Styela clava: one gene and its partner. The protein of the gene in region 1 interacts with the protein of each later gene in a pairwise test. Links are inferred from orthologs where the notes say so. Each region holds a gene or a part of one and is shown on either strand. Other genes may lie near its edges. The genes, in order: pumilio homolog 1-like and CCR4-NOT transcription complex subunit 2-like.

The links.
Region 2: the proteins of pumilio homolog 1-like (region 1) and CCR4-NOT transcription complex subunit 2-like interact in binary tests that used the Drosophila melanogaster proteins (3 or more experiments, as listed by UniProt). The link is inferred for Styela clava from reciprocal best matches to the Drosophila melanogaster genes pum and Rga.

What each region holds. Positions count from the first base shown.
Region 1 is NC_135255.1:4,099,542-4,116,305, forward strand, and holds the start of pumilio homolog 1-like, read left to right. Parts: upstream 1-9,869; 5' UTR 9,870-10,027; intron 10,028-10,184; 5' UTR 10,185-10,204; coding exon 10,205-10,321; intron 10,322-11,699; coding exon 11,700-11,807; intron 11,808-13,032; coding exon 13,033-13,231; intron 13,232-13,684; coding exon 13,685-13,827; intron 13,828-14,487; coding exon 14,488-14,609; intron 14,610-14,686; coding exon 14,687-14,901; intron 14,902-15,534; coding exon 15,535-15,728; intron 15,729-16,764. Other genes in the region: polypeptide N-acetylgalactosaminyltransferase 11-like, read left to right, coding at 310-436, 1,048-1,214, 1,848-1,976, 2,946-3,030, 3,778-3,910, 5,090-5,201, 5,938-6,053, 6,164-6,327 and 3 more. UniProt on the Drosophila melanogaster protein: Sequence-specific RNA-binding protein that acts as a post-transcriptional repressor by binding the 3'-UTR of mRNA targets.
Region 2 is NC_135255.1:11,664,621-11,681,143, reverse strand, and holds the start of CCR4-NOT transcription complex subunit 2-like, read left to right. Parts: upstream 1-7,743; 5' UTR 7,744-7,935; coding exon 7,936-7,977; intron 7,978-8,100; coding exon 8,101-8,175; intron 8,176-8,926; coding exon 8,927-8,978; intron 8,979-9,162; coding exon 9,163-9,280; intron 9,281-10,778; coding exon 10,779-10,958; intron 10,959-11,034; coding exon 11,035-11,059; intron 11,060-12,029; coding exon 12,030-12,186; intron 12,187-13,064; coding exon 13,065-13,166; intron 13,167-13,304; coding exon 13,305-13,409; intron 13,410-14,326; coding exon 14,327-14,370; intron 14,371-15,439; coding exon 15,440-15,482; intron 15,483-16,100; coding exon 16,101-16,168; intron 16,169-16,523. Other genes in the region: pleckstrin homology domain-containing family H member 1-like, read left to right, coding at 793-974, 2,343-2,466, 3,891-3,980, 4,796-4,921, 5,525-5,596. UniProt on the Drosophila melanogaster protein: Component of the CCR4-NOT complex which is one of the major cellular mRNA deadenylases and is linked to various cellular processes including bulk mRNA degradation, miRNA-mediated repression, translational repression during translational initiation and general transcription regulation.

The DNA of each region.
Region 1 (16,764 bases):
TCAACTATCTTCTACAGGCATCATCATCACAGAGAAAAATATATATATGCTGATGCATCAGTGGTCATTTGCATGCAACTCTTCTATTGGTACTCTTTCCGTTTTGATTTCAGGCCTCAGGATTTTGTTTTCTAAAATTTGTATAGAAAATCCAACTAGTTGATAGGTTAAAATTGATATAATCTGGAATGTAGATACTTACTCGAGTGAATTGTTTCAGCCCTCACATATTAGTGGCTGCTTGTACACAGCCTTGTTCAGAGTAAAAGGCATGGAAAATATCTTTAAAATGCTTACTTTTAATTCAAGGAGAGGTATTGTCAGACAGTCAACGTCAGTATCACAAGCAACAACAAATCAAACATGCATTCAATGTGTTGATAAGTGATCGGATTGGTCCTGTTGCAAGACCTGTTCCTGATACAAGACATGAAATGTTAGTATTACAATGAGTTTGAATTTATGTGTTTCTAACGTGAAATTGTATTCGGCAAAAGTTTACAGTGCACTTGAAAATTCATTTTATTACAAAAATTGTTGTGCAGATTTCTATTTGTACTATTGTTTTTATAATGTCCACAAAACTGCTAGTTTTGGAGTTCAGACATTTTATATGAAATGTGATAATAATGTTCCTGGAAAATCTGAAAATCCACTTTTTTGCTAAATAGCTATTTGTTTAATAAAATGTGGATATTCGTTATGGTAAATGTGTTGAAGCAATACACGCGACTTAATGTGACTTAATCTTGTGATGATATCATTCACTAAATTCATATTTTATTTGACAAAACTTCAAAACGAAATCCATGGGCAGATGGGCTATTCGATCTTTTCGTATTGGTATTCAATTATGTCTGTCTAAATACTGCTTTTATTATAATGTCCAGAGGCATAAACATAGTTGGAATCAAGATGAATCACCATGTTTACTCAAATTTGAAATGAATCAGGATATAGATAACCTATAATTATATTCTTTGGAAATGTAATCCTGATCAAACAAATTTTACTTTTTATATATATCTGTTTTTGTTTCTATTCTAGATGTCATAAGAAATCATACTCCAATATCAGTGTCTCAGCATCAGTTATTGTTTGTTTTCATAAAGAAGCATTCTCAGCATTAGTTCGTACTGTTGCATCTGTGATTGAAAGAACTCCACCACAACTTCTGCAAGAGTTAATATTGGTTGATGACTTTAGTGATAACGGTTTGATTACTTAATAATTTATCACAGACAATTTTTTTTTATATGCTTTTCTTTCTTATTTCAAAAAGCCGAACTTTTGTTTGGAAACTTTGAATGTGTTGGTTCAGCACAATTTTTTTCGGTGTAATGGTGAATACTGATGGTTTGTAGTTGTAGATCCTTTAATAAAACTAGTCAATACTGTTATGTACGCGTCATCTCTACTAGAAACAATGTTTTTTATTTATCAAAGCTTCATACTGAAACTACGGTGCTCTAGAAGTGTGTGTACGAATATGGAGGTGACTAATTTTGTTCGCCTAGTTAACATCGAGTTGTGTGAAGCGACTAAAACCTATGGGCTGGGGGTATATTCACTTGGCTAACACACACAGTCCCTGAACTTGTAATAGAACTAAAATAAGGAAAATCGGAATAAAATTATGGCCCGATATGTCCTGTTACACACAATACATGAGTACTGAAACTGAGTACTTGATTTCAAAGGATAATATACGATGTGCTCCCCATACATGAGATACATAAAAACCAGTGTCAAATGTTTCTTCAAATTTGATCCAATGACAACTCTGAAGTGGATAAAGCGATTTTTCGTTCATATGCGCTTCAATCACAATTGTATTTTCTTTGCAGAAGAAGAAAATGAAAAGCTTGTTTCATATTTGGAACAACACTACCCATATGGTAAAGTAAGAGTTATTCATGCAGAAGCAAGGTTGGGACTGATTGGAGCAAGGCTGATGGGAGCAAAAGAGGCCAGTGGTAAGGATGAATATGGAATATATATATAGAATGCATTACCGCATCTTATTATGGCCTTGTTTTCTTATATTTTATTTTAGGAGATTTGGGAGACAATTGGATATTGAATTATTAATTCAAATTTGATTAAACTGTATTTCTCCTAAGTCCCAAGAATTTTTTTTTAATGTTCACCTATTTTGACCAATAGATTTTTATCATTAGTATTTGAAAATGAGTTTTGATTCGTTGTTCCTTTGAGAAACACTTATTACTTATTTCCATATAAAAATGGTTTTGATAGTTTTGCTTCATGCGACTGTCTGATAACTGACGAACTGTAGAGAGATTCAATATTATGATCAGCGTGAGGCCAACATTCTATTCAGTTTTCCTGGAGCGTGACTGTCATTATTATCACCACGAGTTGCACACATAATAGGAAGTAAATTGCTTTCGCTCTAAGATCCTTGCTTTGACATTCTTGTATCTATGTTATATGAATAAATGACTGTCTTATACCAAACTTGGGCAAACTACGGCCCGTGGGCCAAATTTGGCCCGTTAGGTAGTTCAATCTGGCCCGCCCGATGCCACAACCAAACTAAAACCAAATTTTGATGTTTTAGCTAAAAATAGCTCAAAGAATTTGTTGACATTGCGATTAAATTTAGTTTTGGCTTATTGTTTTCCACTTTTGCCTTTGTAACACTGTAAATAAAATTCTGTTCATAAAATGTAACTTTTACTACGGCACACTTGCATGGCTCGCCAGTCTAGGGGGCAAACTTTTTGGCCCCTGGTCCAAAAACCTTGCTCACCCCTGGTCTATACCAACAATTGAAAAAGTTAAAGGAAATTCCATCATGACCAGTCCAAAAGTGATACATTGCCATGTAAATTGTGGTTACATCTTTTTCTACATTATTTTTGTAATCAAAACAATTTGAAAAAAAAAAAATAGTACCTAAAATATTGTCTTATTTCTAGGTGATGTGCTGGTGTTCCTGGATTCTCACTGTGAACCCAATGTTGGTTGGATTGAGCCATTATTGGACATTGTGCAAATGAACAGGTATGTGTAGGAAAATATTAATTCAGTGTACGGTAAATATCATTCATGTATATGCATAGGAATCTATATTATCCCAAATACTGTGTATCAAATATTTTTTTAGTTTCCGATACACTATATCAGTCAATGTTATCACTTCATCCAAGGTATGTTATATTTAAGGTGAAAGTACTAACCAGATATCTACAAGTCATTACTGATCTTTTTTCTAAAACTGGATGTTTGCCACCCTAATAGTTCTATGGCAGGGGTGCACAACCAGCGGCCGTCATAGACTAAATGTGCGGCCGTGATGATGTGTTTTTTATCTGTGAAATAAGCACAAGGCGTCATTACCTAGAATATTTTTTGTACATGTGATGTCGTTGACGTACTTACCTACTTCAATTCATAATATTTTTTGCGACACCATCATCTTGTCGCGATTTCACAAAAAGGTATTGAAGTATACTGTAATAAGGGAATTTATTATTTAGGAGTTAGCGCTTGGCTTGGAATATATGTCATTCATTTGAATAATACAAACCGAAAAAAAAATATTCGACTGCCCCTAACAAGTTTTCTTCAGTAACTTGTTCAAATTTCAACATTTCATGTAAATTTATGACTAAGCATGACCAAAACTAGGTATTTTTAAAATATCTCACAATGATGTGAAAATCTATTGATATTTATGATTACGCGTAATCTATATTTCAATGATGTTTGTCTCATAATCCCAAACCCGCAGCCTGTCCTTATTTTTAGATCCACTGTTGTCTGTCCTGTAGTAGATATTATTAATTCCATGACGATGTCATATATCGCATCACCTGTTTTACGTGGTGGTTTCAATTGGGGTCTACATTTTTCTTGGGAAGATTTACCCTATATGGTTGAAGTGAGTATTATGTTTATTTAATGTTACCATATTTCTACCCAAGAATTGACAAAATTTAATAATTTACTATTTTGAATACATTCTGAAATAACGTTTTTGATATGGATTATTGAATAGGTTCTAAATTGAACTGTGTTCAACACAGGATGTGTACAATTTTTAATTTGTCAATTAGCAGGGATTGGACATTATGGTGCAATGAATTGAACGTTAGAATTGTTCTGATCTTCCTATTTTCTACAGTTATTGAAAGTTTAATAAAATTATGTTTTCCAATCGTCAATAGCTCAAGATAATGCATTTTCAGATTGAAAATATACTAAATATTTCTAAATCAAAGCAATCACTCTATATAGATGGTAACAAATTTAAATGTTTTCATTTCATTTGGGTGTTCATGTTTTTACCTCAAAATTTTAAAAAGAATGGTTGTGAGAGCATTATGTTTATATTCAATATCTGCTAGAACATGTTAATATTTGATCCAAATAGGCAAATCGTTTAAATAAAACATTAACTAAAAAATTTTTTCACATTTTTATTGACTGAGCCCCAATGTGAGAAAGCTAGCTATCAATCTAACAAAAAACCCAACACAGAGAGACTACAAAATTCTTCCAAATGACACCTAAATAGTATTTTTTGCGTAAACGGCAGACTGTATAAGGCGTCTTATATCAGAGCGAATATCAAGCTGTTTGGAAGCTAATTTGGATTGATAACTCGCGTCTGGTTTATATCAAAATTGGCATTCACAGCCCGTTTAAAATGGGTTTTGGTACAACACACTGAAATAGACAAATCGTCAGTATCACTACTTTGTTTACTACAGACGACAAAATTGAAATCGATCACTCGAAAATTTTCATTCGAAGACTGCCTTTGAAAAAACAAATTTCGATATCTCTCTGTATCATCGACACCTGCAAAAAGACTAAAAAAAACTTGTGATGATACCTTAATGGTGTTGCTATTGCGTTTGAACGACGAGAAATAAGTCTTTTATTAGAGATGTCAAAATTTCAGACTGATCAAAATTTCAGACTGATCAAAACAAAAATTGCTTGTCCACATTATGCATGACCCGAAGTTTTTCACCTGAATAGCCAGATTTTAATGCACATCTGTTTCTTGTACAATAATAACTGCTAATGCCATGTATTTTGATTTCATACACAGGATCCATCAGAGCCCTTTGCTTCCCCTACCATGGCTGGAGGATTGTTTGCAATTAATAGAATGTATTTTAAAGAGATTGGTTATTATGATGAAGATATGAAAGAATGGGGAGGTAAGCTTTGTATAATGTGGTGAATTGCTGTCATGAGGAATGAAATCTTCATATTCTTCCTGAGCAAATAGATTGAGTTTTATGTGAAGTGTATTCTTAAGTGCCCTATATGCCACAAAGTGCCATTTGTAAGATACGCAAAGTATTATTTTAGTATAATAAAACAATATAGTTGTTTGTTATCAATATGGTCATCGAAAATTTCTCTTATTTTATTGTTTTGTAAATACTTGGCTAAGTAAAACAACTGCCTTGGCTATTGCACTGGTTGTTAAATGTTGTCTCCGGTTTGAATCTTGTTTTGGAATGATCTTGAATAGAAACAGTGGTTACAGCATCTCAATTAGATTCATATATTCACAATGACGCTCTTTTCTAAAAAGATTGATTGAAACTTGATCATATTAATGATCATGAATATGGCACTAGAATATTGTGTATTGAACTGCAGGTCACTTTGCTTACTTCTATTTTGGATCCACATGACTTGTGTCTGTTGTAACAAGGATGATTTAACAAGATAGTATTAAAAAATGAGAGTAACATACCTAGTATTTTTCCACGAGATAGTTAGAAAAAGTTGTAATTCATATCTTAATCTTGATTGGTCTGAAGTTAGACTATGATGACTTAACATAAGCTCACTAATATAATTGCTATTTTATGACAACCGATTATGTTATTAATATTTGCATAAATGTCAATTTTTTTCTTCATGAATTTTCATTTTTAATAGGAGAAAATCTGGAATTGTCGTTTCGGTTATGGATGTGTGGTGGAAGATTATTAATAGCTCCCTGTTCTAGAGTTGGACATATATTTCGAAGACGACGTCCAAACTCTATACAAGAAGTAAGACATTTAAAAACTAGCCTGATTCCAGTGATCTTGATTTTCTGATGCATTTGTGAGGAAATAAAGAATAGTCGTTGATGCTAACTTGTTGTCTTCTTCGTTGGCAGGTTGATAATCCGACAAGAAACGCTGCTCGTGTCGCAGCAGTTTGGCTCGATAATCACAAAACAAATTTTCTTGAGAAGAGAACAACAGCAAAAAAATTGGATTATGGTGATATTTCTTCACGAGTGAAATTGAGGAAGGATTTAAAATGCCACGACTTTGACTGGTAATTTCTAATTTTGTTGATCTCCACATTAAATTACAACCAAGCATGGTAAACTAAAAGAAAAACTCCATATACCACCCAGGTAGGTTCGATACAGGCAAAGGTTCACTAAAAACTTCACTTTTTCTGTAAGTCAAGCAAAAATGGAAATTATCATCATCATAATAAGAATTTGAATTATTCTTCTCAAACTGCATTTTTTTCACGTTTGTTTAGGTATCTCAATAATATATACCCTGAGATAGAAATACCCGGTAAAAGAAAGAGCAAAATCAAATACTATCGGCCTACATCAATGGACGAATGGAAAAATATCAAGCGAGGCCACATTAAAGTCACTGATCTTGATTTATGTCTCCAAAGCGATGAGGAGAAAGGATCGCTAATAGTTGCGACAAAATGTGATCCAACTTCTTCATCTCAGTTATGGAGAATGTCAGGAATGGGTATGTAGTGTTGAAAGAATTTGAACTTACTTTGAAAAGGCGATTGGCCAACCTGGATTGACTGGTACCAAATCATTGGAAAAAAGTTATTCAGTAATATAATAAAGTTCAATCTTGTCTTGTGTCATTAACAAACTATGCATAGATATCATAGGCAGCCCTTATGATTTCTGCCTTGATAGTTATTGATGTAATCTATTCAGGTGAAATAAAATTTGGAAGTGAATCAAGATTATGTATGGATGCTGGAAGTTCTGAAAACCCGAGGTTAATGAAATGCAACGGAGAGGAAGGAACGCAAAGTTGGAGTTTCTTTCCTAGAGTTCGTCAGTTTTTTATTTCATAGAATATTAATCATCAACATGTGTTATTCATAGCGTTTATTCATTGATATATATGGCCTCATAATTAGGGCACATTGGTGATTATTGTCAAGTAGGACATCGCAATTTATGCTTCATTTTTAGGCAGCATGCGCTTTGATTCTTGTGTAATTTAAACTCGATCACATTTTCGTGCCACCTTCATAATTTGGAACTATGTGTTGTTTTGTGACGGCATTGTTCTTACCATACTTCTATTATTGCTTATTAGATTTGGATTTGCACCGATCCTTTTACATTATCGATACATCTGGTTGTATTATATATTATTCTATCTACTCTTTGGATTGATTTAGGTGCAATTTTTTTCGAATCATGGTTTATACTTTAGTGACACCTGCAATGAAACCTTATTTATTTGCAACATTCATCTTTTATTCTTCACATCTTACATCAACTTGGGCCTTCCATGATATTTTTGTCAAATTAGAAGATTTTGTTTATTATTTCCAGGATAACTTCTCAAAACATGGCGAGATAACCGGTAGATTGTACAGCGCTTCAGAAGGTCTCTGCCTACAATTAAGTGGAGGAGATTTGAAAGAAGAAGAATATGAACTTATTATGCAAATATGCAGCAGTCCGTCGGTACAAACCTTTACAATGCAAACATAATCTAACATGATACAAAAGTACTTTGGAAAGATACAAAATATATATTATATCGTGATTTTAACATACAAACAAGCAAAGCATTTTCCACCCTGCACTTACCTGATTTCCATGTCATTGATCCCCACTATCTTGGAAATAGTCTTTGTTTGTGATTCATCGAGGTGATGTGTACTTTATATCATTCAACATACATATTGGTTACTCTCTTTCATTCTTGTATATTCAACTCTGATGATTTTGAAATATTTGGATATCTATCAAAAGTTTCTAATTATTTTGTTCGTCGTGTTATATTACATTTATAACATACGGGATTCTTTCGTTTGTTGACTTTCTTTTCAAAACTGGTTTTTAATTGTATTGAAAGATTGTTATGCATTTTTATATAGATTTGGAATCTTTTGGTAGAAAACCCTGTGCATAAATTTTAAATTATACCCGAAGCAAAACATAGCTAATTAAACCATTTACCTATAATCAAATATCTACTTCATTGCGTAACATAACAAATTCAATTTATCTATAAACAATATGCCTGAAACTAATAAGAGGTTGGTTACACGAAAGGTTTTTATGCAAAACTATTAGAAGTATGAATTTTTCAAAATGTAGTGTTTAGTTTTGATGACACAATGATAAAATAGAAGTCAATGATTTCAATGTTGAATTACGTCTATGAACAGATAGGTAATTCAATGTGATACAGTGTGTGAACCAATAAAATATTGAAATTTCACAGAAATTTAATAGTTGTCATGGAGTGATTTCATGCAATCCTTGTTCAGAGGCATTTGTTTCTGTAATTTAAATTTTTCAGTATAATTTTGTTATAAAACTTCAATTTTTTTCTTGGCTTTATTTGAAATTGCTTCTGCTAAAACAGTAACTTTGTTTGATATGTCTTGTTGGCCGGCATTACTGCCACCTTTTTTATGTATTTGTTGAATATGTGGGTATTTTGTCATACCTTCCTCTTTTACAACATATATTTTCCCAGTATAATTGTTTTTGTATGTTGGAACAGTCTTATGAAGTGCCCACTCATGATCCTATCGCTATTGATTGATATTAATCCATACCGTAAGCTAAAATTTTATCATTATCTTGATTCAGCACTGTGAAATGATCTTTTTGTAGCATTTGATGATTTTTTTATATAAGTTTCATCAAGATTGTGACAGTCACTGGGATGTCTTGCCTTAGCATGCTTTTCTCCTATACTCATGAGATAAATTGGTATATCTTACACGACATGGCCGGATGTTATGATTTCATTTTTTTTTTGTGGTATTTATGATTATAGAGAGCTAAGTAATCCTGCAATGTTTCTGTGATCGATTGTGTCAGCATTTGGCAACCAGAGTAGAATTCTGTATGCACATCAGTCGTTTCTCCAGGTGATGCAAGCTTCACATATATTTAGGAAATATTGCTAAATTGAGTTTGCTTCGTCTTCACATTTAAGTTTTTTTATGAGAGCTCTCCAGTTTTGGAGGTGTTGGTCAGTCTGTCGGTAGTTTATTTTTCACCAAAATGAACATACTTTTGATGCAAACAAAAACTAGGAATGGAAATGGCATTCCAGGGTGAAGGGTGCCACGAAAAAAACAATGTTGGTTATCAAGCGGCGACACCCGTGATAAAAGTCCAATTTTGATACAGGTAGAATAGAAAGAAGTCCAACAAATATATGTAATTAAGAAGATTAATGTCTAAAAACAAAACCCGTTACAAAAAAGAGACTCCGGACACCAGTGGGCTGGTAATGAACTTGAGGCAAGACTAGGATGTAAGACGTTTGGAAAATAATAAATTAGAAGGTTAAGATATTGCAGTTACAACGATTCCCACTACGCCGCAAGTTTTGTCTAATAGGGAGGACTGCGGAATTTCCAGTCTGCCCACCCACGATTTGAAAAACGCTACTTGTTGCACGTGTACCGGTACCGTTGGTCCGCATTTCTTTGAAATCTTAATTCCAGCTGGATTACGTTATTAGAAAGTAATTATTGGCATTATAGAACGTAAAACTAATTTGTTATCCTTCAAAAAGCATGTAACTCTTTGGCGAGAATTCGCGTTACTGCCAGGTGAGCGTTGAGCCCATTCGCGGCACACGTGTTTGTTGTTCTCATTCGTCACGTGCGACGGAATTACCCACAATTCATTTCGGCGAAGGAACAACAATGACGGGTACCTGGACGATGTCTTAGTTTTAATATCATTTTTGATCCAGCGTTTGCCATATTATTTCAGGTATGTAGCTATCTATTTTTTATCCAACATGGTTATGTTGTGAATATTTGTTTATTCTATCGGTTCAAATGCGATTATGGCTTACTTTTTTTATACTTGGATTGCTGTTTCAGATCAGCCTTTATGCAATGTAAACGCAGTCTCAAACTTTGTTTAGGCCATTGTAAATAGTGTACCATGCAAAGACCTGGCAATGTTGGTGGACCAGGGGGAGGAATGTGGCCAGAAGGTGTGCCAAACTTTAATTTACCCCCAGGACAATTGCATTTGAACAGACTTGCACAAACTGCTGGGGTAAGCTTCAGATCATACTTTCTGCTAAATTTCAGATTCATTTTTAATTAATATTTTTCTGATGTAGTTAGAGTTTGCATGCTCGCTATTAACAGTAATACCGTAACAGCAGGTAGCTTCGGATGAAATTTTCAATCGTTTATATCTCGACTAAATTGGGTCATATTTTGCTTCTGTCAGTTTCTATAGTAAGTCCTTATATATGTAAATCTGTTATCATATTCGATCGCGCAGTTTAATTTATTTTTTGATTAAAAAAATCAGGTTTCACTATAAAATTGACACTCCGTTTTCAAACAGTTCAAATCGTGACGCCTACTGACTGGCTGAATCTAACTATGCAAAATGTCGACATTCGATAGAGGGCGTTATCAATGTATATAGAAAATTAGACTGATCGCGAGATGTCGCAGGAGACATAAAAAAATTGAAATTCGAATAATTTTTTTATCACAATAATAGCATCTGACGCACACGTTAACTTGACGTCACACTGACATCGCTCACTTTGAAGACGAAGTCATGCTGCGTCGTCGTTACGGATTTTACGCCAGACATTCAGGCGCCGACGAGTTGTCGTAGATTTGAAATAACAACGATCATTTGTTTGATTGGTTCAATTGCTTTAAGCCAGCGATTTAAGCCGCTCGATAATGGAGTGTCAATTTTTTGCTAAAATGTGCTTTTTCAATTAAAAAATAAATAAAAATGCGCGATCGAATGTGATAACAGATTTAGGTATATATGGACTCACTATAGAAACTGCCAGAAGCACAATATGACGCAATTCAGTCGAGATATAAACAATTGAATATTTAATCCGAAGTTGCCTGGTTTTACGGTAGTGCAATATACAGATATAAAGTTAGAATTTATACAGTTATGACAGTGAGTGGAAATTCCTCCTTTACGAGACAGTCTGGGCCTCTATATGGGCTCAAACCGGCACCATGCAATAAGAAAACGCAATCTAAAAACGTCGCCACTGAATTACTCTTTGATTTGTACCATAGCATTCGCGAGTTTTCCTTTTAGATTGTTGACAAGCAGTATGCCACAGTTCTTCCATTCCTGATTAGCAGCTATATTATGCAACATCAAGAAATTAATGTGCATCTTTGAAGCAGGAAGCTCGATGCGTGAGAAGAACACATGATGCACACGATTAACTTACATAATTTGTGCAAGAATAATTGGATCCAATGTCATAGTTATGGAACAATAAATAATTTTTGATATCATTTGTTAGATGTATTATCAAGCCCTTTGTTTTATGCTAAAAAGGATTTCCAAATTAAAAAAATTGCACCTTACATTGAATACAAATTTTTAAAACGAAGGTGTATCATGATGTTAGCAATGTAAATTCTTATTTCAGATTATTTCCCAAGACGATCCCACATCCATGTATTCCCTCACCAATCCTGCTTCGACAACAATAAATAACCACTCACAAACATCTTGGAGTGGTGTCTCTAACTATTCTGTACGTTTTATCGATTGTGCATTTATGTGTGTGCATTGTTATATAGCGATACATCGGTAGTCGAACATATTTTTTTTTGGATTTGTGTTAGGCTACAGATTTGTTAGACTACCAAAACTTCTTTTGCTATAAGAAACAATGATAATTATTTTAATTCGTTCTTACGCATTCCAAAATATCTAAAATATTAACAAAACGTGTACCTGTAGAACAATAAATATTTAAATGTGTACATAATGAGGATTGAACATAATGAAGATAGAACTATAAAAAAGCGATTAGTTGCTGTACATTTGAGCTAATTTCTGGCAGGGGAAGGGGCTTTATGGGATTAGTTTTTTGTGTGCAATAACTTCATCTCACTCTGCGAGGTGTTCGAGCACCGAAGTATTTTTGACGAGAATATTTTGATAGACTACCGAATCGTTCGAGTATCGAGGTATCACTGTATATAGAACTAATGCATGTGTTATACAAGATGCGAATAGATTGCCTTAATTCATTTCCATTCAATCTTTAATTAAAAAAAATTCTCGTTGGACCTAAAATGGTGGAAAAAGAGTTATAAGCCAGTCTGCCATAGATTCCATTTGACAAAATTGGAAGTTATTCCAGGAAAATATTGATCTGTAGGCCCCTAAGCTGCAAATGTTGTCATTTCATAACCCTACATCAATCTTTGCACAAGTTCCTGCAATTTTGTGTTCTTGGCTATATTGGTTAAGTGAACAGTCATAACTAATCTATGATAATTTCAATCTTGCATATACTTTATATCTTGATTAATTTTACTATTTTTATGTTTATTTTACTTTTTTTTGTACTGCAATCATGCATGCCTGGTCCATTAACTAATATTGTGCAAAGCGTTTTTGTCTATAAGAAAAAATAATGCTCGGCTTTTTGTCCTTGGCTCCATATGGAAAAACTTATCAATTTAATATCATAAAATGACTTCCCAATCTTACTGGCATGTGTTATTTAATTTCTGTCGGCTTTACAAATAATCAGCTTTTATACTGTTTCGACATTCAAAAAGTGCGCTGGCATAGTGCACCAATCATCAGAGTTAGCTATGATGATATCGCAGGGTCGAAACTCCGATTTAAACGCCATAATCCATATAAATGTGTCAACTAAAAAGGATTTGCTCTGTGTATTTTATATCACTAGTTATTGCCATTTATATGATATTTTAATTTATTGTTGGATCTCATATTTGCAGAATTCTGCTGGTACAAAATTGTGGAACATTGACAATGGAAATTCAACAGGTGGAACTTCTGATCGAGCTTCATTACTAGGTACAAAGCAATGGGGCAGAGAATCAGGTGGCGCTCCATGGGGCCAACCAAGTCCAACAGAAAAAACTCCATCAAATAATCCATCTTTACCAATGACCTCTTCAGCAAATTTACTTACAGGTGATTGTAAATTGAGGGTTTTTTAATCAGTGGTACATCTCGATTGCTCCAACACAAGCAATAAAAGAATATCAAGTATGATGTAATTCCTACTATTTTGTATCTTGAAATGCTTTTTAGACCCTCTTGAAAACCCAGGTTTTCCGGTCGGACCCATTAGATGTTACAGTCCAATTTGGCTATTAGGAATTTCAGAACCCCTCCCTCCCTTAAAAATTCCTAACTACACCCCCGTGACCTTGCTTGGAGCAAATTTTGTAATGAAAATGAACAATTTGGTTTTACCGCCCATTCATATTCTAGAATTCTTATATGCAATCATTTTCATTTTAGGAACAGTCTGTTTTGTAATAAAACCATCTATTATGTCAAATTTTCTCAAAAATCAATAGTTTCACCTGAAGAATATTGAACTATATATAATTTATTGAAATTTGTAATGCTCAATTTCAGGCAGCTTCAGTACATCAGACTCTGGAAGTAATCCTATCGGCTTGGCAACACACTCGTCTGCTGCATTGGGATTCAACATTGCTGATTATGTACTTGGTGGTTCTGTAGGTGATACATCCAGCTTGATGAACCAGTCTGCTTTTGTAAGATGCTGTTTCTACTTCTCATTGTTATTTAGCCATTTAATATCCTGGCCTATGTCGAACGGACACCTGATTAGCGCATATGTTATTCTTATTTTTTGTTGGAATTCATAAAAAGGGTTTGAATGAAAAAGTCCTTGTCGAGAGGGGAGATTACACCCTGTTTAACAACTTGTAGCCTGCGGAATATTTTGATTTATGTCGGTTTTAGTGATTAAATAGAAAAAAATAATAAGCTTGTGATTAATCCCAAAATCTGTATGCTAATTTCAAAACCCTTTCAAAACTGATGTTTGTTCAAATCGGTGGTTCTCAAACTTCTATGATCTACGACCCCCTTCTATAGACTCGCAGCACTTATGACCCATGGCTTTATTTGAAAAGTACCCAATTCTGAATTGAACTTTTCATTAAATATTTTATGCACAGTTGATAATAAAAGCAAACCAACAAAAGCAAAGGAATGAATGCATTACTTTCAGTCACAAATAAATAAAAAACTATGGCAGTTTTACTTTAATCAATATAGCCATGGGGAATGGTACCTAATGTAGGCTTCTGTTTATAGCCAGCAGACTACTATTCTATGGGCTCAGTTCGAAAGTAAAGAAAAAACCGCCATAATTTGGTATATCTCTGTCTAACAAGCATTTCTTTCAGGCGTCTGCTCTGGTAACTAGTGGTGGCAACAACAATGGTGCTTCAAACCCAGTTTCTGGCCAAATGGGAAAGTTACAAGGAGTTAGTTCCGAGCAGAAAACATCCAGTTCAGAGAGCACAAGGTATAGGATTTTGTTCATACATGATTGTTGGCTTGAACATCCTGTGGAGAAATGAAAAAATTGTTTTCTTTTGGTAGAACTGGAAGTAGCCGTGACAATTCTCCAACAGAGGATGAACTTAAAGCACACAGGCTGTCTGCAAATCAACAGCAATTACAATCAATCTTGGCTCAAACAGTTCCTTCGGCTGTTTCCAGTAGTGCAACAGTACAAGTAACTGCAAGCAGTTCTCAGCTTACTGATCAGACTCCTCAGAGTCAGAATTCAGATTCACCTGAAAATGCATCTGCTGGTGAGACTAATTTTTTTGATGGTATTTTCACCATTATTTTAATATTTGTTATGGTTGCTATGTTCACAACGATTATGGAATACCTGAGAGGACTTATGTAGCCTTGAGACAATCAGAGTCGCTGTGGGTGCTATGGAGCTGGGGCTCTTTTCGGCTAAACTATTTACAAAACACTAAACTGACAAAAATTTTGACTCCACTCCATAAACATTCTGGTATATGCAAGCCTAATAAAGATGCTTTGTTAACTTCTTAATACTTATCATACTTAAGTTATGGTCGGAAATTTTATTATTGATAATCACTATTGGAAGTCTAATTCTGGCTTCAAAGAATTCAAAATTTTGATTCCCGACTCCTGCTCCGATATCAATAAAAACATCTTAAACCTCCGACACCACAGACCTGATCACTTCTGTTCGGCTGATGGCTGGTAGAGGGACTTTTTAGATACTACTTTCTCTTCTACTTTCAATATATCTTGTCCCAGTACCTAAATATCCTATTAATAGTTGGTCCTTTCTGGTAGATTAATTCAATTTGATTTTCAGTTTACAGAAGCATGGACAGTTAATGTGCGATTTATTTCTAGCGAGATCAAATTGGAAAATTTTCATAATTTTTTATTATTAGGTGGAAGTATAGCAACAGTCACTAGTTCATCTGACAATACCGGAACCACAGAACAGCCACAAATGAGCACATTTCCTGTTGCTGGTGATGTTGAGTTTGGTCAGTCAGAAGGTCAATCTACGAACACATCTATTGATGGAGTTTTGCAACAACAGATGAGTCAACTCAATTTGGATTATAACGCTCAACAACAAGTACGGTTTTCATAATTTTAATCTGATGTAGGATTTTTGAAAATAACTTCAATTTTTTGTAAAATCATGTATGATTTTATGAATATTCGCTTGAAAACGAAAAATCGTTCAAATTTAAAGAAACTCGCTCAGCAAAAATGTATTCATTCAAAAAACAAAGACTGTTGACTGCTATGAACATTGTCGTGAAAGTCTATCAAGTATTTTAAGACTATCAGATAACAATTTCTTCAGCTGTTAATTAAGATTATCAAGGATTATCGTAACGAATAAAAAAGTTTTGCAGACAACCGAACTACTGAATTATCAGCTTCGTTGGTATATACTGACTGAATCTCTTATGTATTAAGCGTTTAAACATTTTTATTCAAATTAGCTATTACTCACTATAGTTTCTGCTTTTCAATTATTATTAAACTTCATTGATGCAAAAATCTATGACACCATAACACCGATATATAACATATGGACTGATGTGTTGAGGTGATTAGGATGTATAATATGCACTTTTTCAAAATTTAATGATAAAATGTGTAACCAGGGATGGCCAATACTGAATAATTCACTATATCGAATACAGTCGAAAGTTTCATATTCAATATTCACCTTGCTAACGGCGAAAAGTGGCCATTATCCGGAATTGTTCAATATTAGCTGAAAAAGTATTCGATATGTTTTGGACAACCCTGCGTGTCACGGGAATTAGTGATTTTAATGAGCAGCTATATTTTCATATCATAGTAATTAGTAGGGATGCGACGAATCCAAAAAGGTTCGGCTCGGCCGAATCCGAGTATTTGAGCTGGACTCGTATCCGAGTCCCGAGTCCAATACTTTTTCATTAGCTCCGAAATAAACACCTAAAGTGAAGCTGTTGTTCACGTATATTGGTCGTAAATTAAACATTGTGTAAAATGAGACTATGTATCGGTAATTCATAACGTTGCACATAAACACTATTGATTTCGAGACAATCATCTTTTTCTTAGTTGGCGCCGATAATGATAAATGAGAATGAGCAATTGTTGATTGCAAT
Region 2 (16,523 bases), about 7.6 Mb from region 1:
TGAATAATTTTCATTTGGACTAGAAATGTGTGAATGATGAACTGGCTTTCAATATACCTATTTGGGTGTGTTAACCCAGTTGTTAGAGAGTTGGAACTAGCGCTGTTGGTGTTGCAGTTGAAAGATCTTAGCTTGTTAGTTAGCACATCACACTTGCTATTATGTTCGAGAGGATTGATGAACTCCTTGCCATTGTAGGGTGGGTCACTTGGCCAATTATGGTCCATGCATTCTAATTGAATCACTAACTATTTTCATACTTGACATTGACTGGTAATTGGTCGAGGCCATGGATCGTCTTATAATTAAATCTTTTCGTCGACTTTCCTCTCCATCAGGATAAATATGACAAATCATATCCCAGGGGTGGGCAAATTAGGACCTGCGTGCCAGATCCGGCCCATCTGTGTCTGCTGAATTATGTTTTTTTTTTTTTTGGATATAAATTTCCATTGAAAATATTGATGAAAATAACGTCATAATGAGCCTGATTATCATATTGTGCTCCTTATTATTATGTAATATAGTTATATATGTTTGACTAGCTTTTGTAAATAAATTGTTTTTTATCCATAGTTTTTCATATTAAGTTGTGAGCCTCCTGTAATTAGCCCACTCGGAGAAGTAATTTCCCTACCCTGTCATAACCAGATACAATGTCCACCACCTAGTCCTCCCAAAAACAGCAGTTCTTTCCCTGTTGATGGCTTATGTCTGTTGTAAGGTTTCACAATGGATCAACAAAATAAAATGAATTTAAACCGTAGTCATATAAATATGCTATGTTTTTAGGTTGCAGATGAAATTACATCAGATCGCTTTCCTGTGACAAGAGAACTTGCAATTGAACTATCATCAATATGTGCTCAAATGCACGAAGGAGATATGAGAACTGCTGATCACAGCATTAAAGATATCTTGGAGAAATTTTATCCCAGAAGATATATAGATAATGCTAACAAACAACAGCTAAGGTAAGCTTTTGTAGTGATAATCTGTAGCAAATTAACTTTATTAGGAATTAGATGGATGTGTATCTTATGTGGTAATAAAGAATCCAAGAATCCATGGTTATTTTTCGTCAAAATTTTTTTTGATATTTTGTACTTCCATTTGTCTCTTAAGATTATTAAGTAAGTACGGTAAGTTTATTTCGACTCCATAATCAGCAATAGACGATAAAATAATTGATAAAAACAAAATAAATAAAACTGATTATAGAATCGGGAAAACAAACGAAACCTAAAGTAAGGTTTAAAGCGTACAGATTTTAGGTGGAAAAGTATTGATAAATGTAGTAGTACTTGTTCGCTTAAGATTATTCATCAAGTTTATCATTATAGTTTAGGTGATTTTAGCCAATATTCGACTCTAGTAGATTTGAGACCTATTTATCAGATTATGATTTCAATCAATATTTAAAAGGAAAGAAATATATTTCTCACGACTTCTAACCTCAGGATAGGCGTCCCAAAATGCCTTGCTCTTGTCTTACCACCAATTGTTTAAATCCCATTTTACATGTTCACTCTGACCTAGACTTTGAGTTTTTGAGTTACTTTCCGGTTCAACTGTTTAATTCTTTACAGCAGTGGTTCCCAGACCGCGGCCGGCGGGCCAATTACCGCACGTGTAACGATTCAATATGGCCGGCTGAACTTAAGTGAAATAGTTTAATACTAATATGTTTTTCCTTTTTACGTTCCAGATAACCGCCAATTGTTATGTCATTATCACAGTTTAAGCATGTGTATATCCGTAACAATTAGATTAACCGGTAACCTAATTATACGTACCGGTACCGTTATCAGCCCGCAAACATCTCTCTGCTTCTAATTTTGGCTCCTTGTCAATCAACTTTGGGGACCACTGCTAAACACAGTCCCAACCAATTTCTCTTTATCGATACTTATGACCAATGTTCCCTCTAATTTTTGTAGTTTGTGTGCGCAGAAATTTTGGTGTGTGCGCACTTTTTTGGAAATGACTAATATTTGTGCAAAAACCAAGGAAGAAATTTTGGTGTTCTAACCGGGTAATAAGTGGGCTTATTAAGAAAATTTTGGTTATTCAATTTTTCTATAGATTGTAAATGCTTCAGTAAAGGCTATGTGTTATCAGTAGATAGCAATGAACATACATGGAAAATAGCAAATGAAATTGATTGTAACAGATGGTTTTATTTGAATTCAAATAAAGGGTGAAAAAAGAACCTTGTTACATTATATCGAAATACGTCTGTGCGCAGTAAATCTATGCGTGTGCGCAGCCTCTGAAAGCTGTGTGCGCGCGCACACCTTAGAGGGAACACTGCTTATGACTTACTTTATTTGCTTCTATAGACAACTTCGGGCAAAATTATGTGAAAAATGGACAATGTTGAAAAACACTTCACCCAGTGAGTGTGCCAGAGTTATTTTAGCAACTACAAGGAAATGTACATTGTATGGAGCAAAATTATTTCAGGTAATAATAATTTATATCAGTGAATTTAGAAGCAAGAAATTCACAAAATGTACATCTCCATGAAACTCATATTTATAACCTCAAGTCAGGGGTGGGCAAATCACTGCCCACTGGCTGGATCTGGCTCACTTGCATCTGCTGAAATTACGATTATAGAATTTATGTATATAAATTTCTTCGTCGTAAAAACGTCGATGAAAATCACAATATAATGACACCCGATTGTTACATTGTGCTGTTAATATTATATGATCGTTACCCTAGCTGTTGGACACCTGCTGTAAATGAACTATTTTTCATTCAAAGTTTTTCATACTGAATTTTAAGCCTTCGGAGTTCGGACCAGTAATCAAGTCTTATTATCTGTAACTGGTCTACTCAGAAAAGTAATTGCCCACTCCTGCATTAACCCTTTTTGTGCGGTGGGCACGTATACGTACCCACGACAAAACTCGCTAGATTGCGGCGGGTACGTTGATGTACTCCACTGTTTTATACAGCAATCGGTCGCAAACTGTTGGTCTAGTTTTTCCGGGTTTTAGTTTGTTGATAAGAAGTCTTCATCGAGATTAACCCAAGCGACGGTAAATCTCGCTTTCGTTTACCATGGGAATTTTATTTGCGGCGGAACGAGGGAGTGTTTTTGAAATTTATGCAAATTTCGGTATTTTTTGGGTGGTAATAGAAGACATATTATCCCTTCCATCTACCAAAGTATTTTGAGTTAGATAACGAAATTGCTACAGCAATATTATGCTATTGTTTGCCAACCAAGAAGCGGTAACAGTAAAGGATTTAGCGAATATTTCTATTTTTTATCACGGTTTGAAGTTTCAACACCCAAGAAAAAAAAATGCCTTTTTTCTATCCGGTTTGTGACTCAGACCACCCCTTTTGAAAAAAAAAAAATTTTTAATCGCCAATTGCAAGCTCTTTAAATAAGCTTTCCAACGAGACGTCAGTGGGCAGCAGAGGATCATTACTTTTTCGTTAGTCGATCGATTAGTTGTGGGGGTACAAATGCATAAAGTCGGCGTAGCAAATACGATTATTTAATAAAAAATAAAAATCGCATGGAAAGGGTTAAATCTATATTCTAATTTTGCATAGAAAAATCATCTGTTTTTGGGTAGTAGCCATGAAATGATGCTTTTTCTATTGTTTTTAACAACTGGTTTTAAAAAATATCAATGGATAATGCCTTTTTTGTTATTTTGTTAGAAATGAGAAATCTGATATTGAAAACAGAAAAGAAAATAGGAAAAAATATTTGAGAAGTGTCTCAGTATTCTTGATTTGATGAAATTGAATCAAATTTTAATGTAGATATTACTGAAATTTAATACATTTAACAATACATTTTTAATACTTTTTCATCTCTCGTGTAGAAATATATTGAAAGATCTTTCTGTTTCTTTTCGCAGGTTGAAGTAAACAGAAAACATAATAAATTATCAACAATATGGTTGGCAGTACATGAACATGGTGTTAATGAATTGAACTATGTTACAATGGTTTGTATTTTGAACACTTTATTGTCAGTGATTTAAATCAGGGGTGTGCAAGCTGGGGCTCGTGGGCCTAATGCGGCCCTCAAGGAAAAAATTGTGTGGCGCTTGGAGAGGTGCCAATTTTGAATGATGTGCGACCCGTGAAGGAGTTTTTAATTTAATTTGGTGTCTGCGAGTAATTCCAATCTTTTTGCATTGAAAAGCCTATACCCGAGTCCAATTTATTATCTATGCCTATGACTTTACAATGCCGTAACAGCTGGCTTGTGCAAACAACGCAAGATCAATAACCAAATTTTTGTGCCTGCAACTAATAGGTAGCCTATGCTAAAAAAGATGCGGCCCGCAGTTTCACCCAGTTATTTGTATCTGTCCCTCTTGTATTAATAAAGGTTGCACACCCCTGATTCAAATTATCATTTCTTATTTTACTAACAACTGGTCTGATTGAGTGAATTAATATTAAGCTGTCTTATGAGTTTTAAATTTGAAGCGAGTAATCATTCTTATACTTATATAAACATGCATATTGTAGGCCTGTATTTGTTTCTTTTTGTTGGGTTATATATGAAACTTGTCTTGAAAAATGAAAACGAAATTTTATGTCAGATTTTTGAAACAAAACAATTTTTTTGACTTACTATTTTTTACAGCCCAAAAGGTGCACTTTAATTCTTTAATAACCTATTGTGTCTTATAGCCCGGTGCGCCTTATGTATAAATAAAAACCCAATCTAAGCATTTATTGACATGCGACTTATGGTCTGTGGAATGCGGTAGTCCATATTTTCTGGTCATCTTTTTTTTTCTATATTCAGGCCATTGAAAACACTTACAAGTACCTAAATATCATGACATATGGTGGATGTGACAACAGATTCATGATTGTTGTTGAAAAAGAAGGTGTTCCTGAAAAGCATTTCTACTCCATGTCTAAGGAGAAGGTCTGATTGTTTTAATATTATTACTGCACTTCAGATTGATATACCAAGAACAATTAAAAAGACTGGCTGACCAAAAAAATAGGGTCTTAGTAGTTCTTTTGATTGACTTATAGTCCATCTGTCTTCAAAACTTCTGTCATCATTACTTTTACATCACTTGACCTGGCTAAATTTTTTCGCATTTTTGATAATAATTTAATAATAATTAATTGATAAAATTTGATAATACTGGAAATCATAAAAAAAAATACTTTCAATGAAACCGGTGTGCTTGTATATTTTTGCACTAAAGATGGAATTATAAATTAGTGTCAAAAAAGATTTTACCGTGACCCAAATTGAGCTTTTTTGCGACCCACCGGCGGGTCGGGAACCCTAATTCGAAGAGCTGGTGAGTGTGACAAAATTGACTATACGGAGCACACCAGACGAATGTAGGTCCTTAGTAGTTTTCTTTGTATTCTTTTCTTTGCCATTTTAGAAGTGAAAGCGTTGAATGCCCCATACAAACGTAAAAGTAAAGTTGCAGTATCATTGTCCAGATACTGCCACTTTGGCATGTATGCTTTCAATTATCGTAATATAAAATCCGTTGCTTTGCAGGCATCTGAGATTGTTCATCTGATGACCGAATACATGAAAGTATTCACCGCAAAGAAGAGATATATTCCATGATGCTGCTAAGCCAACTAGTATTAATCATTGATATTGCATTCTAAAATGGGCGTCAGCTATTAGGCATGTGTAGTATTGGAAGATGTGAAATAAAAATGAGTCTTCTAGCTGGAATAAATGGAAACCGTCTGCATTAGGATGCTCATCTTGGAGCATGATATTTATCTCAAGAAAAAGGAATTGGATTTCGTATATATGGAGCTTTACACTCTTTGTTAATAATTACTGAGTATTTAGGAAGGATATCAGAACCGGGATCATTGGTGTTTTTGATAACTTTTCTATTGTGTGAGGGCCACCAGGAAAAGATCTTGTTTCAAAATACTCGCAATTAGTGATATCTTTATATTCATAATGATTTTTGAAATTAATGCTGTTCATCATGAAATCACTGATTATTTCTATGGAACTTTCTTGAACAATAAGTTCCATTTTGGTTATTTGAATTCAAATTTTCCTGAGGGGAATCTTTTGAATAATCCCTACTCACAGTATCAAATGTTGTGGTTTTTGAATTTCATATATTTTTTTTTCATTTAAACTGTATACTATATTTTATTTATGATGCACTTATTGATATCATTTATAATTTTGGTGTTTTAGCAGCTTGGTGCAACTTGAAGCATGGTTCTTAATATTTTTGATCCTTATATTATTTCTTATTCGTCAACATTAGGTATTTGGAATTACCTCTTCATTTAAGAAGTAAAAGAATCGAAAATTGAATTTGTGCTATGTTTATAATTTTGTGGTAGACTTTGTTAGTTGGAAATGTTAGTGGGGCTTCCGAAAGAGTTTTGTTCAGTTATCCTGGTAGAGAGGAAAAGTGATAGGATGGCTGTTGGTCCGGCAAAAGCTCTTGCGCCAAAGACTTACGTTCCTGAGAGCCTGTAATGGCTGTCACTTTCGTTTGCCGAATTATCCTCCACTAAGCGCGCTTTCATCTATACCTGCTTGAGCCACGAAGTCTAGTTTCAATTTCCAGGAAAATTGATGCGTCACTTTGTTGGCATTCACTTCCTAAGCGAAGAAGCCTCCAATATTCCCAATGAGGATTTTAGTAAATGGATTGCTCAGCTAGTGATTATGAAATTTCTCTGGTATTGTGTGAATTCCAGAATGAGTTTGTTACCATAATTTGAGAGAAAAAAGGTTCAACCATGGCTTCTTGAAGTTCATATTTACTTGTAAAAAGATTCTACCATTTTGGGATTCTTACATGCTCTGCGAAGGCGTTGACGCATTCCACAAAAACTAAAGTAATGCAAAAAAAAAAACGAAATACGGTACCGTACTGCCTTTTCCTTGGATGCTTCGTAAGCAAACCCCTGGAGCATATTTTATAAAATCTATCTTTCATGCATTGCCAGTGGTAGGAAAGTATTTACATGTTTATCTTGGGGGAGAGGAAAGTCGATGAGACGGCAAACCACGGCCCCTCTTCTGGTAAGGGATTATTCGATGAATACATTAGTTTTATTGATAGCTGCAGTAGAGGGTAAAATACATCATAGGTAATAATTTAATCGAAAAATTAAACATTTCAAAATGACGAAAGAACAAATAACCGGCTATATATTCCTAATATCTGTCCTAGGTTGGAAACCAAATTCAGAGAACGTAGTTTTCAGTATGTGTAAGGCCTCATAATGGTTCTTCGAAAAATCTATTTGAAGATTTCTCATTTTAAACTCATAAGTAATCGAAACAATCACTGAAATCATGCTAGATATTTAGTCCAAACAGTTTAGAAAAAATGTTGAGGCTTTAATATAAGGACATTTGTAACAGTAATCAGCCCTGTGTAAAAAGGTTCATGAAAATTGACTTGTATCTCGAGAAAGTGGGATGATAGGAAATGATTGAAACCTCCGAAGATTCGGAGTGTTCGACTTGGTTTTCACCCTTATGTCTTGAGATTGTCAAGTATATAAAATGGCGTAGCATGGTTGTTAAAATTTTAGTCGGTAAAAATTGATATTTGCACTCAGATATTTGTTCGACATTAAACGAAATAATTATTCGTTTATATCGAGTAATATACATTTCCGCGTTCAACGTTTTCCGGTAAATAATGAATCCGCGTCGTTTTGCCCTCCAGTGGTAAAAACAATTTCTTGTATCCGACTGTGGGTATTTTGTCAACTAACCCAGGGCCAGAGGCAAGATCGCTTTGTTTGCAGCTCTTACATTATTGTTTAGTGTTCTATTCCGTCTCTTGTGGGAATTTGCTGGTGTTTCATCATTTTGTATGTTTTATTCTCCTAGTTGACGATATTTACATTGTATCTATAGTTGTGCAAGGCACATGGAAAACTAATTAGTACAGTTTCCACAATATGTTCAGTTCTGGTTTTGGCAACACGCCAAAGAAGAATATGGTAAGTTGTTTTTTTACTTGAAATTTTTGATAAAATCATTGAAGCTATGAATTTGAAATTCTTTATTAATGTGACACTGAACTATTTCTCAATCTTATTCAATTATATAAATTCATTTCTAAGCTCTTTGAAGATAACGACATGACAGGAGGACTTGAAAGCATGGGGTATCTTAACTCTGGAAGTTCTGTAGCGGACGTAAGTAATTCATGTCATATGTTAGTCAAAGATTCAATATTTTTAGTTTTGATCTAACCAAGGTAAACAGTGCATTGGTTTAACCATTGCGGCATAATTGCTAAAAACTCTCGAATGCTGCTCGTAAAATTTTTGTCTTTTAATTAGATAATTTTTTTACAAGGAATCCAACGGTGATGTTTTTAGATTGGGCTTACTTTTAGATTATTGCGCAGTGTCATTTCGCGGTGTCTCTGAAAGGAGGGGTTTGCACTCACTGTTATAATTGATGTCTGTAATATGGGGGCTATTCCTGGAATCGCAGAACTGTGCCTTGCTGATGTAGCAGCCCATGAGCCCTATATCTGTATATTGAAAAGGCTATTGAAATAGCGAATGGAACCAGAAGTGAAAGTATTTTTGTTGCAGAGTGATTCATGTGGCCACTGGTCTGTTTCGACCTCATCCGCTATCAGAGTATGACTGGAATTGGTGACAGGACAAGAAACCTTGGTCCACCATATGATAAAGCAGTCTCTTTTTTCCTGTGATAGATATAAAACAATATCTTGTTTTTAGTTTTCCATCCTTGTATCTGGTTGCATAAAATGTTGTATTTAGCAAACATATTAGAACTTCATGCAGCAAATCTTAATCAAATAAAACTTCAATCGCCGCCATCTAAACTTAAATAACAAATACATCTCACTCTAAAAAATTTATTGGTTATAGATTGTGTTTGTTTGATTTTGAAACTTTTTTTTTTTTGCAGATGTTAGGGCAGTCTCAATCTTCACAATTTTCTCCATTATATGGACAGCAGAGTAAGTTAATTTCGTCAAAATTCATAGCGTTTCTAATCGAATACGAATTAAATTATCGTAAAAAAAATTTTTTGATGTGTGAATGCTACATGATAATTTACAGTTACTACTTCAAGCTGTGATACTTGAACCTGTAGGATAAAATGACATTGAAATATTCATTTTCTTTAATTTATTTTAACAGAATCCAATACAATGGGAGGTTTGGGTCAATTTGGTCGGAGTTTTTCAATACCAGGGAATTTAACACCAACAAGTTTAGGAGGAGAAATGTTAAATCAACAACAACAACAGCAGAACAGGTTCGCTCAAAAAACATTTTCACTGATTTTTTACACATATATTTTATGTCTTTTGCTTGGAACAAGGACTTATACAAGCAGGCCCTGATATGTAAGTCTACTATTTTCAGGATCACAATCTTGTCGGGTCGGCATTGCCTACCCATTTTATTACACCCTGGGTGAGTTGGTGGGTGTGGGATTTGAACCTGAGACTTGTTACCTGTGTTTCCAACACAGTTGAGTCTAAGGCTTCAACGCAACGGTTTCCAAACTTTTTGTTCGTGTGGTGCAAAATTATCAGGGAAAACTCAAAACTCAAGACGCACTTACTCGAAAAAATGCTGCTTTCAAGTAAAACTCAGTTTTGTGATCGTTTATGTTTACTCCATACCTTTGCTATAGCAACTTTGATTTACGGGAACCAGAGCTCTGAGAACAAAGAGCCGCATGTTGCCGATCGCTGATATAGAATATAATGCAGGAGCTTGTTCCATCTATGTGTGACCCATATTAACCTGATTCAGACGCCCAATCGAGCCCAATTTTGAATAGATTTTTATTAATGTCATACGACCCCCAAAATTTACCCAATATACAATAATTATATACCATTGGAAAGGTATTTTAGAGTACTATACGCTAGATGTCACTGGAGGACCGTAAACTAAAACACCTCTTTCAAGAGGTCTCTCGTAACGTCAAAAAATAACAAAAATATTTACACTCTCTCATTCTATCAGCTGTTGGACGTCTATACCTATTGTAAAGCTGAAATGTAACTATACAGTTGACTGCACATTGGTTTTCTCTTTCATATGATACTAAACGCTTTTCCATAGCGCGCAATGTTCAAGCGTTTTGGAAATTTTCCGTTTGAGAAGGCACCACATCGAATCAGGCCAGGCTAAGCTTGATAGATCGATCGGTTGTTTGTTTGTGCTTTATCGCGTTGAAAGCTTTTGTGAGTCATAATAAAACATTTATTATGAATCATAAAAGCTTATAATCGTCAGACAAGGAGAATTTGCGAGATAAAAGCCTAACTTTTTTTTCGGTGAGGCAGCTGCGATCAAACGACTCGATATTTTTATAACTTCCTGACGTTGTGAGATGTCCACTCTCCTATGTTATGTAGCATATAAAATGACCTTCAAAATAAGACCTTATCATACTAGCTTTTGTTATTGGTTAGCGCGCAACGCCAAGGTTTATGGAATCATTTTCTTGTTGTGCGACGTTTTTATATCGCAGCGGGAAGTACACGCGTGATATGTAAGCGAAATTTTATCACTTCTAAATGTCATATAAGGTTCATTCTCATATCGTTGTGTGGGGAATAAGATTTCCTTTCAAGCAAGACCATAACAAACATTCCAGACCTCATGGTATACACACAGCATTGCAAAACGTCTGAAACGTCGCGCATGCGTCAAACCGGGAGGATTAGGTTAAAGAAAGATTATTTTCATATATTTTTTTGTTAAAAGAACTGATCAAAATGGTATATTTTACGCAGGGGTATTCCGCCAATGTCAAGGAGTTCTATGTCGATAGGTCCACCCAACCTTCCAACATCACAAATGAATAATAATTTGTTATCAAGACAAGGTATGAGTCCAACAAGAGGAATTTCACCAGATATGCTTTCTTTGAAACAAGGAATGAACAGGGGAAATAATAATTTAATTGGTTCAAGGTAAGACTAGATTGATTAGGATTGGAATGTGTTTATGGTAATATATTTTATTTGAAAATTTTTTGTTTTGTTTCAGGAATCAATCGTTTCAAAATACCCAGGTAAATTTTACTTCTTTTTTTCGAATATGGTTTTTTGAATGCTTAGTATATATACATATTAAAATATCTGGAGATAGAATGAAAAATTATTTAACTTGCAGTATGTAAAACTATTGTCTTTGAAACATATCCTTTTCCTGCTTCAATGCTCTCTTATTTGTTTATTGTATTGGTATTATTCAAATTCAGTTTTTTTATCTTTTTATAGGTGTTAAACCCTTTGTGGTTAGCTCAATTAAAAAATCGCTATCATTTTAAAACTTATTCAAGCATTTAGATTCCCAGCTTTTTTAACTTTAATAATATTTTAAGGCGTTAAAAATGCAAATTACAATATCAAAGGAATATTCGTTTTTAATATGTTTGTTAACTTTTTGGAAAGCCAATAGATGAATAGAAGATATATAGGGTGTCCATGAAGTCTTGAAATTTTTTAAAATTGCAAAGTGAATTTATCATACACCATATATTGTTTTGGCCCTCACAGATGTATTGAATGAAGTAAAAATACTCGAACTTGAAATTACTGATTGATAAACAACAAACCTGGTAAAGATATATTGAGAACTGACTCCATAACAAAATCGAAATTGTAAAGAAACTTTATGGCAATTCCATGCCTTCAGTCTTTATCATTGCTATATTTAATGCACTGAATTTCTCTGTGTGGCATGAGATTCCAGATTAGAATTCCCGAAGAACGGTTTCCATTTGTTTAGAACAGCGGTGTGCAACTTGCGGCCCATGGACCAAATGCAGCCCACAAAGAAAAATTGTGGGGAGCCGCGGAGAAGTGCCAATTTTGAATGGTGTATACCTGAGTGCAATTTATTATATATACCTATGACCTATAATGCCCTAACAGCTAGCTTGTGTGAGGCGAACAATGCATGTCATAAGATCAATAACCAGAATTTTTGTGCCTGCAACCACTATAAATCTTATGTTAAATAAGTATTATTCTCTCCAGTCATCAGGTATGAATGCAATAGGAAGTGAAAATTTATCTCAACTTCGACAACAGCCTCAAGGACCAAATGGTTCATCAGGAATGCTTGACATTAGTGAATTTCCTGCTCTCAAGAGCGGACCAACTATTACAAGCCAAATAACAAATGGTATCTCAAGTGAGTTTGATGCCGTAGAAAATTCTTTCAATTCATCAATATTTTTCCTAGTTCTATTTATTTCTGTGAAATTAATATTGAATTATTCGGGAGTATTACCCTATTTCGGCATTTGGTTACCATATTTTACGGACCATAAGTTGCATTGTAGATAAATTGCTTAGACTGGGATTTCGTCCATAAGGCGCATCGGGCTGTAAGATACAACGGTTTTTGAGGAGTATGTATTCTACGAACCATAAGGTGCATGGTCAATAAATTGGCTAGACTGTTTTTTTTTTCCATACATAATGCGCTTAGGACTATGAGACGCAAGTTCACGCAACAGTTTTAAGGAGTGCCAGGTTATCGTACAAAGCTTATTAAACAAAACAAAAAACACGATTCTTTATGAATATTTATTTTATATAAAGACAACGTAAAATGGCGGTCTATTTATAAAACAATAATACTGTTATTGGTTTTGAGTGTAGGCGATAAAGCAATAGTTTTTTAAGAAAAAAAAAAAGCGTGTTTATGGTCTGTAAAATACGGTACTATTTCATTGCTTTTTTTTTTACACACTTGGGGTACAGTATAAGTCTCTTAATAACCTGGAGTTACGATTCTAAGTCCAGTCACAGTTTATTTGATCGCTAGTAAGATCAAGACCTAGCAAATTTTAAAGTTAGAGTCCTAAGTCAGGTCATTGCCCTCTCTAGCCACTAGTCAAGTCCGCCGAGTCATATAGATCACTTTACCAAAATTAAAATCAGTAACTCTGACTATCTAATATATCTCTACTTATCACTGACTTCTTGCCTAAAAGATTGTTTAGAACGAGAAATTATGAAACACGTTTCAAAATATCAAGTTTATTTACAAACTTTGTTATTTAGATCCCTTCAATCTTGATCAAGCTGAATTTCCAGCTTTGGCACAGAGGGCAAGACCTATTGGATCACAACCATCTGATTCACTTAATTCAAAGCATCCTTATGGTAAATGAAATATTCACATATTTGGATCTTATAACGACATGCTTTCATGTAAATTCACAACTATATTTTATTGTTCAAACAATGCTCATTTCTGCATTGACCTTTTGTAAAAATGTCTCATTGTTTGAATTTACTTAGGTATGCTAAATAAACCTGGTGGAAATTCTGAATTTCAAATACAAAATGAGGATTTTCCTGCTCTTCCTGGTGCAGCTACTGCATTGAATGTTATGAAGCCGTTGTGTAAGTTCTCGATTCTTTATTTATTTAATATAGGTCCAACTATTTGAAATGCTAACTATTTGGAAAAATATTATGTTGATAACATCACAAATGCTTTAAAACTGCTTATTCTGTTTTCTATTGGTTAACTTTTACCAGTGTCAAAGAAATGATAATTTTAAGTATTAGTTTAATAGCATGATTTTTTGTTAACATCTCGAATTTTTGACATGATAGGGTTTTAATGTTTATACACTAAGAGAAGAAAATTAGTCACATGGAGAACCACGGCCTCTTGTGCGGCTGTATACCAAGCCTATGTCTACTACTTCGTTAAAATATTTCTGCTTGTATATCTTTTTCAAAAAAAACACCAATTAAATGGTAATAACTAAAAAGTTTGGTGAGCCGAATTTCAAAATGTATTTCATATAATTCACATTTTTATTTATGCAAATCCTATGTATTTATACAAAACAATCCAAAGTGAGTTTTATATCTGACACAAAGTGTATGCATATTTATTATTGTTGGTTTTGTAAATAAAAATCTGTAACTAATGGACCGATCAATTTCAAAGTTTTCATATTTTAAAGATTTATTTTTTGAATTATTTCATCACAAATTTAGCTGTTTTCATTTTAATTCATGTGAAAATTTTTATGTGGTATATGGGAACACTCTTGGCCCCTCGTGCTCATGTTTGTGAGCATTACTCTAGTTATAGAGAAGTGTTCAGCTGTAAAAAAGTCATTTTTTTTTCCAATTATTTTTGTTAATAAACCTTTGTTTTTATCTAGTTCCAGAACAAGATCAGCTGTTTTTCTTTGTTAATAAATCTATGTTTTTATCTAGTTCCAGAACAAGATGGTTCAGCTGTAAAAAAGTCATTTTTTTTTCAAATTTTTCTTTGTTAATAAATCTTTGTTTTTATCTAGTTCCAGAACAAGATGGCAGAGGTGATGAATCCAGTAGCAAATATGTAAATATTATTTTATTAAATCATGAATTCCCATAGTATTTTTATATTTAATTATATAAAGGAGTAAGATTCTTTTCAAAGGTTAATAAGGCAATAATCAATATATTCTAACTAGGGCTGGGCACTTAGAATCGAATATTCGAAACGATTCGAATAGTAAATTATCTGAATCGGTTCAGAGCTAAATTTGGAATCGCCGCCATCTTATTTTTTTCTTTCCGCATATGGTCGAGGTGAATTACCCATTTTTTTTTTATTGAAGCCATATTTTTTCAATGTAATTCTGACATATGACAATTCCTATTGATAAATAAGCGTTTTCATAGTGTGTGAATGCTCCGCTCGCTATCTGTCTTAATGATGTATTCTACGTTTTCAGTAATTCATTTGTTGACAGAACCAATTACAATAAAAAAGTCGCATACAATTACATATCTCCCATTGACTCCCAAGTATTTAAGATTCGATTCGGAAAAAATATTCGATTAGATTCTGAAATCATCAGGTATTCGAAAATGCCGAGCCCTAGTTCTAACAAATAAATAACCCAATTTATCACTGACATCAATTTGCAAACAAAAGGAATAATATTTAAGCGTCACCTATTTGAAAAATTGATATGTACATGGTGTTCATAAAGACCAGTATTATATTCGGTAAAAGAACTTCAATGTGCTTCATGCAACTAATAGTGGGCATATGAGGTATGAAATGAAGTAATAAGAAAACTTGAATAAATACTGATTAAAATGAAACAAATCTGGTTAATGTATTGTGACTGACATCATAACTAGATTTTGAAATTGTAACTGGACTTTATGAACACCCTGTACATCATATTAAAAACTGAATTTCAAATTGCTTTGAGGTTAAAGCAAATTTTCTGCTTTTCACAAACTATCATGTTCTGATCAAGTTAATGAGTTATTTTGGTCTTAATTTTACAATACGGTATGTCACATGATTTGAACCTGCGAACCCACGCACACTTATCACGATGCGCCACTTTGTTGAGCCTAGTTCAACCACAAATGAAATAACCTTTTCTTATTTATTCAATTATTTTTAGGGTCCTTTGGGTAATCTTCATCACGCTCTTGGAAATATGGATGGTATGTCAATTGTCATGTTATAAATTATAATGATTAATTTATATTGTGAAATTTCATTTGTACAATGATCAATTCGTAATTGTTTTATTTTTAATTTTGTGTTCGATCATTCTAATTAGAAAATAGTGAATATATAAACTATACATATTGGTCTTCGTACTATATTATCAATATTTTTTATATCTGTTACTGGAAACATTAATTGTTATTTGTTTGTCTGTGGTAAATATACTGTATTAGTAATTGACCTATGTTTGAACAACCTAGTTTGTTTGCCGCAAAAATATGTATGAAACAGACTATGAAAAGTGGACAAATGCTTGTATTTCCATTTGTATGATTAAGTAATATTTTATAAAAAAATAATTTATAAACGTCATCTTTATGACATTCATCATGCCACTCTGAATAGTCTCTGTGAGGCGGCCACTAATTTTGAATGATTGTAATCTTTCAAGTTCGGCAGACGGCCGTTTATCCTTGGGTGAGGTTGTGAACATGGGGCTTGTAGTAACAAGATTTCGTAGGTACGGCGTTCTAGTAGTTAGAGCGCAAAAGGGATATGAATATGTCATGTAAAAAAAACATCATGAAATTTGATAATTTTTTGAATTTCAGATAAATCAGGTCTTATGTCATCTGGTTTATTGCGTAATCAACAATCATCTCATCAAAAAGGAATTCAGGTTCGTTGTTGTAATAATTACAATGCAGATTCTTGATCAAATTTTTAGTGTACTTTTTTGCTGTGATCGGACACGAAATATGGATCGTTTCGTTATTATGTTATTGCTGTTGTTCTAGTTTAGTCATTTTTTTCCGAATTCTTTGGAATTTTCAATGGTTGAAGATTGTGTTTTTTGTTAGAAGACCATTACTTTTATATGCAGTACTGGTGAATTACTGTGACAAAGTATATCCATACTTCTTCGTTTTGGCCCTCATGTCCTTATATTTAATCATCACTCTCTTGCTAATATCTGTAATGCACATGGGATTGTAGATTTTTGGCCATTCCTTAGGTATTTCAGTAATATTTTC